2 linked regions of the Arabidopsis thaliana genome follow. The protein of the gene in region 1 purifies or fractionates together with the protein of each later gene. This does not show direct contact. Each region holds a gene or a part of one and is shown on either strand. Other genes may lie near its edges. The genes, in order: ARPC4 and DIS1.

Evidence for each region.
Region 2: the proteins of ARPC4 (region 1) and DIS1 fractionate together in Arabidopsis thaliana (co-fractionation; one study listed by BioGRID). This does not show direct contact.

Annotation. Positions count from the first base shown.
Region 1 is NC_003075.7:8,153,026-8,158,572, forward strand, and holds ARPC4 (binding protein), read right to left. Parts: upstream 3,766-5,547; 5' UTR 3,692-3,765; intron 3,343-3,691; exon of another isoform or gene 3,302-3,342; 5' UTR 3,222-3,301; coding exon 3,219-3,221; intron 3,047-3,218; coding exon 2,981-3,046; intron 2,648-2,980; coding exon 2,595-2,647; intron 2,486-2,594; coding exon 2,458-2,485; intron 2,360-2,457; coding exon 2,285-2,359; intron 2,069-2,284; coding exon 1,964-2,068; intron 1,567-1,963; coding exon 1,473-1,566; intron 1,144-1,472; coding exon 1,037-1,143; 3' UTR 782-1,036; downstream 1-781. Other genes in the region: AT4G14145 (cytochrome C oxidase assembly protein), read right to left, coding at 1-66.
Region 2 is NC_003070.9:4,493,209-4,499,196, reverse strand, and holds DIS1 (Actin-like ATPase superfamily protein), read right to left. Parts: upstream 4,274-5,988; 5' UTR 3,804-4,273; coding exon 3,757-3,803; intron 3,663-3,756; coding exon 3,203-3,662; intron 2,831-3,202; coding exon 2,684-2,830; intron 2,433-2,683; coding exon 2,340-2,432; intron 2,205-2,339; coding exon 2,085-2,204; intron 1,664-2,084; coding exon 1,553-1,663; intron 1,473-1,552; coding exon 1,347-1,472; intron 1,264-1,346; coding exon 1,165-1,263; intron 1,074-1,164; coding exon 993-1,073; 3' UTR 728-992; downstream 1-727.

The sequences.
Region 1 (5,547 bases):
AGGGGTAGTACCAGAACCGGAAGGAGAAGACTTTTGAGTTTTCTGACCGGTTTCGATTGTTGTCATCTTTGTATTAACTCTCAAAGCATACAACTGCAAGGAAAAAGCAAGAGTGAGAACCTACTACATTGTTATCATTTTTCTTAATCCTGAAAACAAACACAAGAGTAGCTACTACAATAAGCATTGAGGAATCCATTTTCTACTCTCTAATAACATTTTCTTCTGAAATTAGTCACAAAACATAGTGTGCAAATATGGTAATCTGTGAATTTCAGATCGACTCAATCAATTTGATAATAGAGCAGAGTTAAAGATCAATACTAGCTCTGTTTCACGTGACTGGATTTGTTTCGTCGTATCTTCTACAAACAACAGATTCGTATGACCTAAATAACGTTTCCTAAACCGTAGAAATTCTCAATCTAAACCCAGAAATCAGTTCCATTCTAGGCACAACACACCGATTCGTTGTTTGACATAAATAAAAACTAACCTGGAGCTGCGTGATGGCCGGAATCTGAAGTAGCTCACTAGGTCGACGCAGGACGAGATTAGATAGAGACGGCGATGGAGACGCCGAGAAGCGAGAAGAGTGATGACGAACGTTGAGCTTCTCGGTGTATACGGCGTCGTTCGTTCTTTTAGGAAATAATCAAACAAATTAATAAATTCCCCTATTATTAGTTTCAATAATGGGCCCAGCCCAGTAACTCATATTTTGGGTTACGGTGTAAAAGAAACGACGACGTTTTTTCCTTTGTTGTGGATCTTTGTTCTGTCAGAGATGAACAATTTGTTGGTCTTTGGTGGTAAGAATAAGATAAAACAACTTTTTGGTTTCTGGGATTGTACGTTCGAACATCTACGATCAACAGACCACATTTGATAAGTATCGCATTACATACACTACAATTACCAAGCCGATGGCTCGGTACTTTGGTTGTGTTAGAATAACAGAGAAAGTAGCAAAATGAAGAGTAGATGGATTTTAACCAAATAACGAGTGATTGATACAATGAAGGGTTACATTATACTACTTCAAGAGCTGCTTTACATGAACTGTTTCAAGAACTCCGTAGCAACGAGTCTTCCTCTTGTATTCACTGACTCCTTCAAGTCCCTTATTTCTTTCTCTATATCCTGCAATTTCCATGGTTAAAAAATAGTCACACTTCAAGTTTCAAATCTATTTTAAGCGGAGATTAGCATGTTGGAGGACATAATCAGAGTAACTAATCTCTGTTGACTCTTGTAGAAACAATTCAAATTCAAAGACGGATATAATGACCTTTGTTAAGGCAACTATTCAGAATACTACTTCTCAAGTTATTTCCGTGAGAAACACAACGACGTAAGGATGCATCACTAACATTAGGTTTGATGCAACCAAGACATATATTGATTGTTAGGATGCTACTAATGGGAGCAACCAAGGTCATAGAATAAAAAGATTAGGTTTCGAGAGAGACTTGCCTCCATAAACTGAATAATGAAATCAATTAGCTTCTGTTTCTGCATCTCTTCGCAGTGGTAGTTTGTTATAAGAAAGCTTATGTCATAGCCCTGTTCAAAACACCAACAAAGAAACCAATTGAAGGGAATAAGGGAATGGATCGTTCACACAATGCAGGGGAATAAACAGTAAACCATCTAAAGCCAAGGCAATGCATTTCCGCACAGTGAGATGATTCATGATTCATGATTCATAGAAGGGAAAAAGAAAGGAAAGGTGTGGTACATACAGACTATCTATCATCCTAAACCTAAAAAATGCCTGCACAGAAAGCTAAAATTAAGGAGAATTTGTGAATACTGTCTGCGTTATGTTTAATCAATTCGTGATGCATTTACCATTAAAAAAAAATAGAAGTTCGACAAAAGAGGGAATGCATTGCAACTTCTAGATAAAACCTAGTAGCACTCACAAGTACCTAAGTGTTGAATCAATAAGAAGGTCTACCTGCACTGGCTTCCTCCTCAGTACTTGAAAAGCTTCTGCCCTCATGGACAAGAATCTGAGAAATTTTTTGGTTAGTATGTTTTCAAGTTCATCCGCTTGCTTGACCTGCAAATTAAAGATAACAAATATTTGTAACAGCAGAACAAGACAGATGTCTAGACTAAGTCACGACTCGTCAAGACGTTATCTCAGGAGAAAGAAACAAAGGAAACGGTGAGAAACAGGAAAGTAAAACAACACAAAGCCTTTGTTGAACAGTGTACCACTGGGGCTCTTCCTGGAAGTATTTGAAGGAAAAGCTAGGGTAAGATGAACATTTACCTTGAGGCTTATCCGGAGTGAATTTATAGATGTTTCTATTAAACACTTTTCAGCCTCATTTCGGCATATTAAAACCTGCAAGTTGCAAAACTTAGCAGTCAACTACAAAACCTAGGTAAGAAGACAATGCAATATCAACGCTAAACTGGGAGGGAAACAAGTAAACTTCTTACAGGATTTAGCAAAAGTTCTGGGCTCGTCCTACAAAATTTAGCAAACACATGGTGATAATAAGATTCTATGCTTGAAATAAAAATGGAAGAAGAGCACCCCATTCTCACATGCATCTTCTTGTGAGAAGCTTACATACTTTAATTCAACCTCTGGTTTATTATGCCTTTCAACTTCTTGACAAGGAAAATTCTGCAAGTAGAGAAGTATAGAAGCTTTCAGGAATATAAACCATGTAAAGCTGAATGTTTTCAAAGACTCCACATGGCCCCTTTCACCTACTTTAACGAAATCGGTAGGTTCTGACACCAAATATTGCGAGAAAAACGTCAAAAAGTAAGTGAATGATGGTACAACATGTCTAATCAAAAAGTAAACAACTAATACAAGAGAATAACAGACCAAAGGTGGATGAATGAGATAGAACGCCAACATGAAGCTTTAACTGCCTTAAACAAACTTAACCATAAAGATGGAAACTTTGAGACCTATGCCATGATATCATGAACCAAAAATAATTTGTACCTGTAAGCACATGGCAGCCTCGAGTGTATTTTTTATGCATGCTAGATACAGCCGTAATGAGTTTGCCTGGAACATCAAAGACCCATCGGAAGCAAATTTTAAACAATTTCTGCAGTAAATCAGTATGCGATAGACATTGTTTAAAAGAATTGTTTCTAAACAGGACATGTTTGAATGAAAAAGAGTCTTTGTCAAGTATGAGAAGAATCAAAATTAGAATTACAGTCAAGGTTCTTACCATGTCCTAGAAATGATGTTATTCTACTCGAGACTTGCACCAGACTTAGGATTTTATCTTTCTTCTCGATGAATCTTTATGAGCTGAAAAAATAATCCAAACATAAACAAGAAAGCATCTTTAGTTTCATAGAATTTAGGTTACCAACTTTTTTATACTAAACGTCAATAAGAAAGCAACTTTAGGATCAAAATGTCTACAAGAAAACAAAACACTCTCAAATGTTTAAGATAAGAAGAGAACAAAATAACAATCAAGTAACAGCAAGATCCCGGAGACTAGAGTTTCTATGTAATCAACTCGAAGCAACAACAAGATCATGATTATTGAGAGACCCACTTAGAGAAATAAGCCAATCTACTGAAAGTCTGAAACTTTTGGAAAATGTGAGAAAGGGAAATCAAATTAGATCCCTAGGAATCAATCAGACAAATCAAAAGCCCTAAAACCTTGGTCGTGAACAAATTGCATACCTTGGACGACTTGGAGACTCGTGAGAGGAGAGATCGTAAGGAGATTTAGAGATCAACGATCGGAAAATTGAATCACGATCAAATTGACCGGATAAGTGAAACGAAATGCGTCAAAACCGAACCAAACCAGACACTCCGACCGGATCTGGTACATTCTAAAATGGAATGTTCATTGACCCACAAATACCAGCAAGATTCTGCGGATTGAACCGGTGAACCGGGTTGCTCTACTTCTAAGTTCTAATCTACAACTACAAGCGGTACTTGCGCTTTAACACATCTGTTTATGTTACTGTATTCATTTATAGCAAAGACTGGCTCTGCTTCTTGTAGAATGTTCTGTATCCGATGAGTAGTATATATCATATTTGCATGCGTAGATGTTGCAGCTGGGAGAGTTAACGCAGTCGATTTCTTGCTCAGAGGCAAGACTTCCTTCAGAGTACTTTTCTCTTGGCAAGAGCATTCCAAGATTATAAGAGACTCAAACTCAATTCCAATTGAACTCGTTGAGTCCTTAACTACATTCAAGTGATGAATTTGTTCAAGATGAGGTACTTAATGTTGAAGATACTTTGGGTTGCTATGTAAATTTTTCCACTGTTTTGGTTCCTCTGAAAGTTTACTTAGCTGTGCGTTGTGTTATTTTAGGTGCCGCCCTTCTGGGAAAACGATCTTCAGAGTATTATTCAGATGGGTTTCGAGAGATAGTCAGCAACAGAGCAACAACTGTATGCAAAACGAAACAAAAAGCAACAACATATGTCTTGTTTTAAGATGTCTAATATCTACTATATGAGTATGACATTCCCATTTGGTTGTATATTGCATAGGTTCGGAACTTGTGAAAATTGAGCCAAACAAATGGTGAACGAAGAACGGTACGGAGTTATTAATAGTCTCTGGAAGTAATGTTTTACTTCACATCGTTTCTTCTTGTATCTTTTGTTTTATTCATAAGAAAAAGTCTGCGTCTGTGAAAAGAATGGTAGATGAAGAACTTGTGGACAGATTTGTATTAGTAGAGAAGAGGTAGATTCAAAAAAAATTATATATGGATCTTATAGAAGTCTTTGTGTGATGTTTTTGGTATATTCAGGTCTCACTTGTTGGTCTAGTGTGTGACAAAGATGTTTCAAAAGTCACAAAAGTTAGATTTACTCTTTGATGATGGAACAGGACGAATTGATTGTAAAAAATGGTAATTAACACACATAGACTATACCCTTTTGAGATATGGAAGAGTTGTTTTTAGGTACAATGGTAATTTGCTATTTAGTGTAATCACCCACTTAGTGACACATCCTTCATGATAGCAATGCTTACAATAAGGCATCTGGCAACAATTCTCAGATCTCGACATATTCTCCAAACAGATTGCACAAGTCTCCGATTCTTCTTCTTCTTGGTCCAAATCTGTCGCCGACGGAGAAGAAATACAAGGCACAACACTGTATAACTTGTGTGTCAATCTGACAGAGACTATCATGAATAAAGGTTGTTGACGTTGTTGTGGCAAGTAAAAACTTTGACTTCTTTGCAGTTGGGCTTCGACAATCTTAGAACATATTTGTCCGGACAGGTCACGATCGTGGAGTTGGCGTTGAAGACGTTGATAGACGTAGTTCCGTTAGTGTAATTTGCTATTTAGTGTAATACCCAAAAATATGAATATTGTTACTAGAATATAGAGAGTGCGAGATAAAGGAAGGAGCACGCTCATGAAAATGAAAAGTAGAATTGTTTGGGAATTAGGATTGCAGTCTAAGCTAAGAGATCTGCATGAAGGTTGGTTTAATCTTCTACGAATCCAGGAGGTTTGCGTCATTTGTACATAATGAGTTGCAAGTTATGAG
Region 2 (5,988 bases), on another chromosome or scaffold:
ACTAGATCTACGAGGAAAGTTACAGTTCAACGAGAGAGTAAGAACATCGAATTGAATAGAATTGAATTGATTGCCTCGTGAAATTGAGGATCGGAAAGAAAAAGACAGAGAGAAAAAACTACGCTTGCTTACTTTGACTACTTGTTGCTCGACCTTCTCCGTATACGGAAGTTGAGAATCCGACAAACTCCGGAATTGTTTGAACGCCCAGAAACAGAGCTTTAGCGAAAGAGTTTTTGATGAGATCGGAGGAAGAGAGTCGTATTCGTCGAGACTCGGGATGTTCTCTTTCTTATCCGATAGAAGAAGAAAAAATGAAAGAAGAGCTTCACCGTGATGTCAACAGTTTGTCTTAACAAACTTTTTTCTTTTACATGTTTTTTTAGTGCGTTTATACAACAAGCTATAAATGTAATAATGTATTTTGTAGAACATATGAAAGATATATATATATATTTTTTTTTCCCATGAAAGTTTTTTCCTTTATTATTAACAACAGAATATCTTACATTACTCCAAAACCAAAGAGTAATGAAAGATATTTGTTTTGAGTAATTTAAGAAAATGATTTTGTGTATTTTACCCAAAAGAAGGTTTATCTATTCATGTCTAATTTTAAATATTATTAACTAATTTATAAAAAATAAAACACATCATAAAGTAGACAAAACTTAATTATCATGTGTTTCATCTAGAACTTAAGCTCTTGAGTGGAATAAAAGCTTATAAAAAATGATAACTTGACAATTAGACGATTGATAATCCGGAACTTTTCTGTGGAATTTAATGCTTGAGTTAACAGAAAATAATATGAAAAAAAAATCAAACTTCTACATACTTTTTTTCTTTAATTTGTCTGAATAATAATATGACTTCTACATCAAGCCTAGCTTACACTGTGTGTACTCAAGAACCCTAAAGTCAGTAATAGAAATGGAGTAAAGCAGACAAACATTCACAGAATCTGCTGGTGAATTATTTATGAAGCAGCTTCAATACATTCCCTTGAACACCGGATTCGTGCGGCATATGCTTGCTCCATATTCCTCATACTCCTCTTTCGTTCTGCAACTCTGCAACAACAAAAATACATCTTGTTTCAAAACACGATCAAGCCATGAGGTTTAGCTTCAAACTAGCGGATCTCTAAACTAGTTTGCATACCGCGAAAAACTCAGGAGTTGATGAAAGCACAGAGCCTCCAAACCAAACTGCAAACCTCTGGACAGGATGGCTCACGACATTAACCTCCACCGGTTGAGACTGTGGTTATAAATAAATATCACCTCAGATTAAGAAAACTGGTTATCACTTTTATTTTCCAGAATATCATACAATTTTCTTACCGTAATTTCACCACCAGTACGAGCGTTATTAGCAAGAACACGAGCATCAACAATCTTCTTGAGGTCCCTTTGTAACCTTCTTCCGAAATCTTTGAACATAGTTGAACCTCCGGACAACACTATATTCTGAAATGATTTCACAAATTCATCAGTATTGCGGATTGGAAATTATCTTAAAACTCTGACCAGTCTTTGGCGTTTCAAACCTTATATAAAGCTCTTCGTGTGTCAATTGGTGCAGACTGAATACATTTGTCTATCACAGCTGGTAAAGTAGTTGTGAAGTCATTGCTGTATATCTCTGGATTAAAGAACACCTGTAACACACAAAATCTCAACATTACTCATCGGTAATAGCAGAACAAAAACGCAAGAACAATAAAGGAAATTATGTTCCACTTTCCAGTTACTCTCTTGGTATAGAGATACAAAGGAGATTAGCTTCCTATGGGTCCAGTAGTGACAGCTGAATTCTAACTAGATAAGAATTAGTTCCAGACTTCCAGTTAACATAATGGACTAAGTAATTACCTAATTTGAGTTTCTGAGAGAGCATAGTTTTATATCAGTACCGTTCAGTAATCAGAACAGAGTGCTGAAAATATCTTATAATCGATAACAAATCATGAACAGCTCACTGACATACTAGAAACTCATGCACCAGTAAAGATATCCAGTCTCCGATTCTGGTTATCTTATCAACTTACAACTTTTTATAACAGATAGATGGTAACAAACCTCGGGTCCAAGGAATCGTTCATATCCCACGTCGCAAGTGTATGGTGCACCAGTCTTTGGCTTTACACCTTTCCATTGTTTAATATACTTTGCTGGTTCTTTGTCATGTTTATTAAACTCCTGCAACCATATGAATGTTCTTTATCAATATTCCTATATTCTTTTCAAGCGATTTCAGCATACAGGCCAGTAATAAATTTTCAGAAGAGTATATATTAATATTATCTGACTTGAATATTCACCACTAAGGATTACCTTTACGATGTCAGAACAAGTGTAGCAGTACATTTCCTTCACTTTACGGGCTACATCGAATGAATCTTCTGGTGGTATATTCTCACCTCTTTCCTACAGTAAACATTGAAACGAGAAGTTACATGAAGTTAATACATTAATCTAAACCAGTAAACACCCTCTCTAAGCATATGAGCACAACATCTAAAACAAATAAACAGGAAGCCTAGCTACCATACTCAAAGCTTGGATTTAACACATTTAACTTCTGTGCCTTTAAAATCTTAAAATGTCACAGAGAAAGAATGAAAACCAACTACAAAAGAAGACCAAGACTAATATTAAGATAATAAATTAGTGCATACCCGCATGAGTTGCTGGATAAAGAGGGTGACATCTTTGCCAGCAATTGGAATCGATTTGATACAGCTCCCGATGACATAACCTTCTGCAACAGGTACAACATGAGTTGCCCCATCTCCAACATCTACTACAACCCCTGTCATCTCACACTAAGAAGAATTGTAAGTCAAATTAAGAGGCGAGGCGAGCATAACGAGACAGAACAAAAAACAAGAGAACATGTTTAATATTTGCTAAATCCCACAAAGCTCGGAAATTGTCTAATGTTGGTGAGGTTACACTAACCTATTCTTGAGACTCAGTCCCTAAAACCAAAACTGAATAAAGTATAATTATGACTTGATTTAAGGATTCACACAGTCTACAAGCAAACTTAAACAACTAATAGCCTAAATACATATCATTTCATCCCAGCAAACAACTTAAATACATATCATTTCATCACAGCAAGTAGGCTAATACATAGCATTTCATCACAGCAAACAACGTAAATACTTGGAGAAAAGAAATGTGTAACATACCTTTGATGTTGTGTAGCCAGCAGCAAGTGCAAGAACTGAATTAACAGCAATGTAAAGCCCAGGAACATTAAAAGTCTCAAACAAAATTTCTCCAGTATATTCTCGACTTTCAGGAGGAGTAAGAGGACTTTCAGTAAGAAGAAAATAATGATCCTCAGGATCACATCTCAAATAGTTAAATATACACTGCTGCCAATATCTCTCCATAGCATCCCAATCCTCAACTTGACCATGCTCAATTGGATAATGAAGATTATGAGTACTACTAGACCGCGATTTCGCAAGAGCTTCATCTCCAATATAGAAATCGAGATCCGCAGCAACTCCAGCGTTGTGCTGAGTTTGCCAAGTTGCCTTAGAAGAACTCTTGGATTGATTCAAAAACGACTCGTTTACTGCAACTACTGTTGGTAAGATAAAACATGGCTCTACATTACCCGCAAATCCCATTTTAGTATACCTGCAATACACACACACACAAGAATGAATCTAATTGCAGCATTTCATCGAACACGTTAAGCGCATAAACAAATCAAACCTATCATTGAACGTACCCAGTTCCATTGTCGATGACAATAGCGGGTCGAGAAGTCGGATCCATTAGAGAAACTAAGCCGGCGATCTCTAAAGCAAAATCAGCTCACCAGAGGGTGTGAATGGAGATCCAAAACAGTATCCGATTAGAGATCGATTATCTCTACCGTTTAAACACTAGAGAACCCTAGAATTTTCCGATCGAACCTAAGCTTGCTTCTTTCTCGCGCCTTCCGTCAACGGAAGTTGAGTTTCCGACAAGCTACCACGTAATTTCTCGTAGGCTATGAGAAACAATGTAGGGAGAGAGACAATGAGAGAAAATTGATTTTCCCGGAAAATCAGAGATTCACGTGAGATTCAGCGAAACGGTCAGATCATAGAGAAAGTCGCCGTCGTCGACTGGTACTTTATCGTGTGAGATTTTTCCGATAAAAAACAAATGAAGTTATGTACAACTACTGTTTTAAATTTTGGCTTCGTCCTTATGCGCTGTGGTTAATTTGGTTTTCCAACCCGACTCAATAACCAAGTCTGATTTAAAAACCAAACAAATTTCAATAACATTGAATTGAACCATACTGGGCTGATTATCATCATTACAAATTTTGTTTGGATATATAATATACTGTAATCGTCTTTGTAAACAAACCAAATTAACTAGGGACTTTGATAATATAAAAGGTAATCATAACACAAATAATGTTCTGATATATGATATATGATATATGCCTACTGTTAATTGGATTAACTCAATATTAAGATGTGTGTAGTGAAGACAGAAAAACAAACTTATGATAAGGACGCTTGAACCACCGAACAAAACCCATTAAAACTTGAGATTGAAGTCTTGTTACTACTTTACTACACAGTAGTTATCATGAACTATGTTCACACGGTCTCGAAAAATGGAATCATATCAGTCTCAGCCTAATCCTATTGAGTAGATAAGCTTAAATCATCATGCATGTCTCACTCATACCGGTCCGTTTAAATAACAAAATGAAAATGTAGCCCAATGTTTTAGCATTTAAGTGTAAAGTATGACCTGTTTTCAAGGTAATAAAATTTCAAAAGACCCAAACAAAATAATTTTTAGTATAAATATGCCCAAATATATAAATTTTTTTTTTTAACATGAATATAAGGTCCTGAATTTTTATTTTGCCCTAGAGCTTTAAAAATTGTTGGGCTAGGTTAGTCTCCCTTGCAACAGATTTCTTTTTCATATATATTTTTTATAGTCAATGTTAGGTGGTATGTGTAAAACTACAATGCGAATGAATATATATTTTTTTAAATGGCTTGATTGATCTCATTCATCTAACGAATTACTACATTCGTCCAACAAATTACTAAATTCGTTAACGCAGATATGTGATACTCAATTCACTAGTTTTTTCAATTTAATATTCGCCGTTTACGAATTTGTTGGCTATCGTTTTTAGATCAGTCACATTGCTGTAAGCATCTCTTGCCGACATGTTTTCCAGACGACTCATTGTTGATCTACCAACGTTCTTCAAAGCTCTAAAGAATGCACTATTTTTTTCACTTTAGCAAAAAATAAAAATAAAATATAAAGATGTAACCGTAAAGAAAAAATATTACAAAGCGCATTTTGTACAAATTTTATTGATAAAGGACGATCTAAATATATTTTTAAGATTCTACAAGTTTTTTTACTTATAAATACTCATCAATGTATTAGCAGTATTATATTCGAACTATCAAAACAAATATTTGTTTATTGTTTTAGTTTTTTTTTTTAAACAATGATTTTTTTTCATGATCATGTCAAGTTTATTGATTAAAGAGATTTGGGGGTAAATGAGGTGTAATCATAATGAAATATACAATACTCATGTTTTAATATTCAATATGGTTAAGATTGTTTAATTCAGATAAATTGAACTGTATCATCAAGAACAAAATGAATTTTTTAAAATTCAATTTGAAGGAAAAATCAAATACCACCTAACCGATTGCATTGAAAAGAGAAAAAAAACTATATTTGATATAAAAAACCGTTGACAAAACAACCATATTCGAAGCAAAATCAAATTTGTATCAAATTACTTTAGATGGAATAAAAATTGTGACTGGAATTTGAAATGGACTTTAACATTATAATTAAAACCGTTAATTGTAATTGATAATCAAATTTTAAGAATTAGGAGTTAGTAGGTGTAAGCAGTTGAGTATACCATCACCTCATGTTCTAATATCACATATATGGGTTATGAGTATTT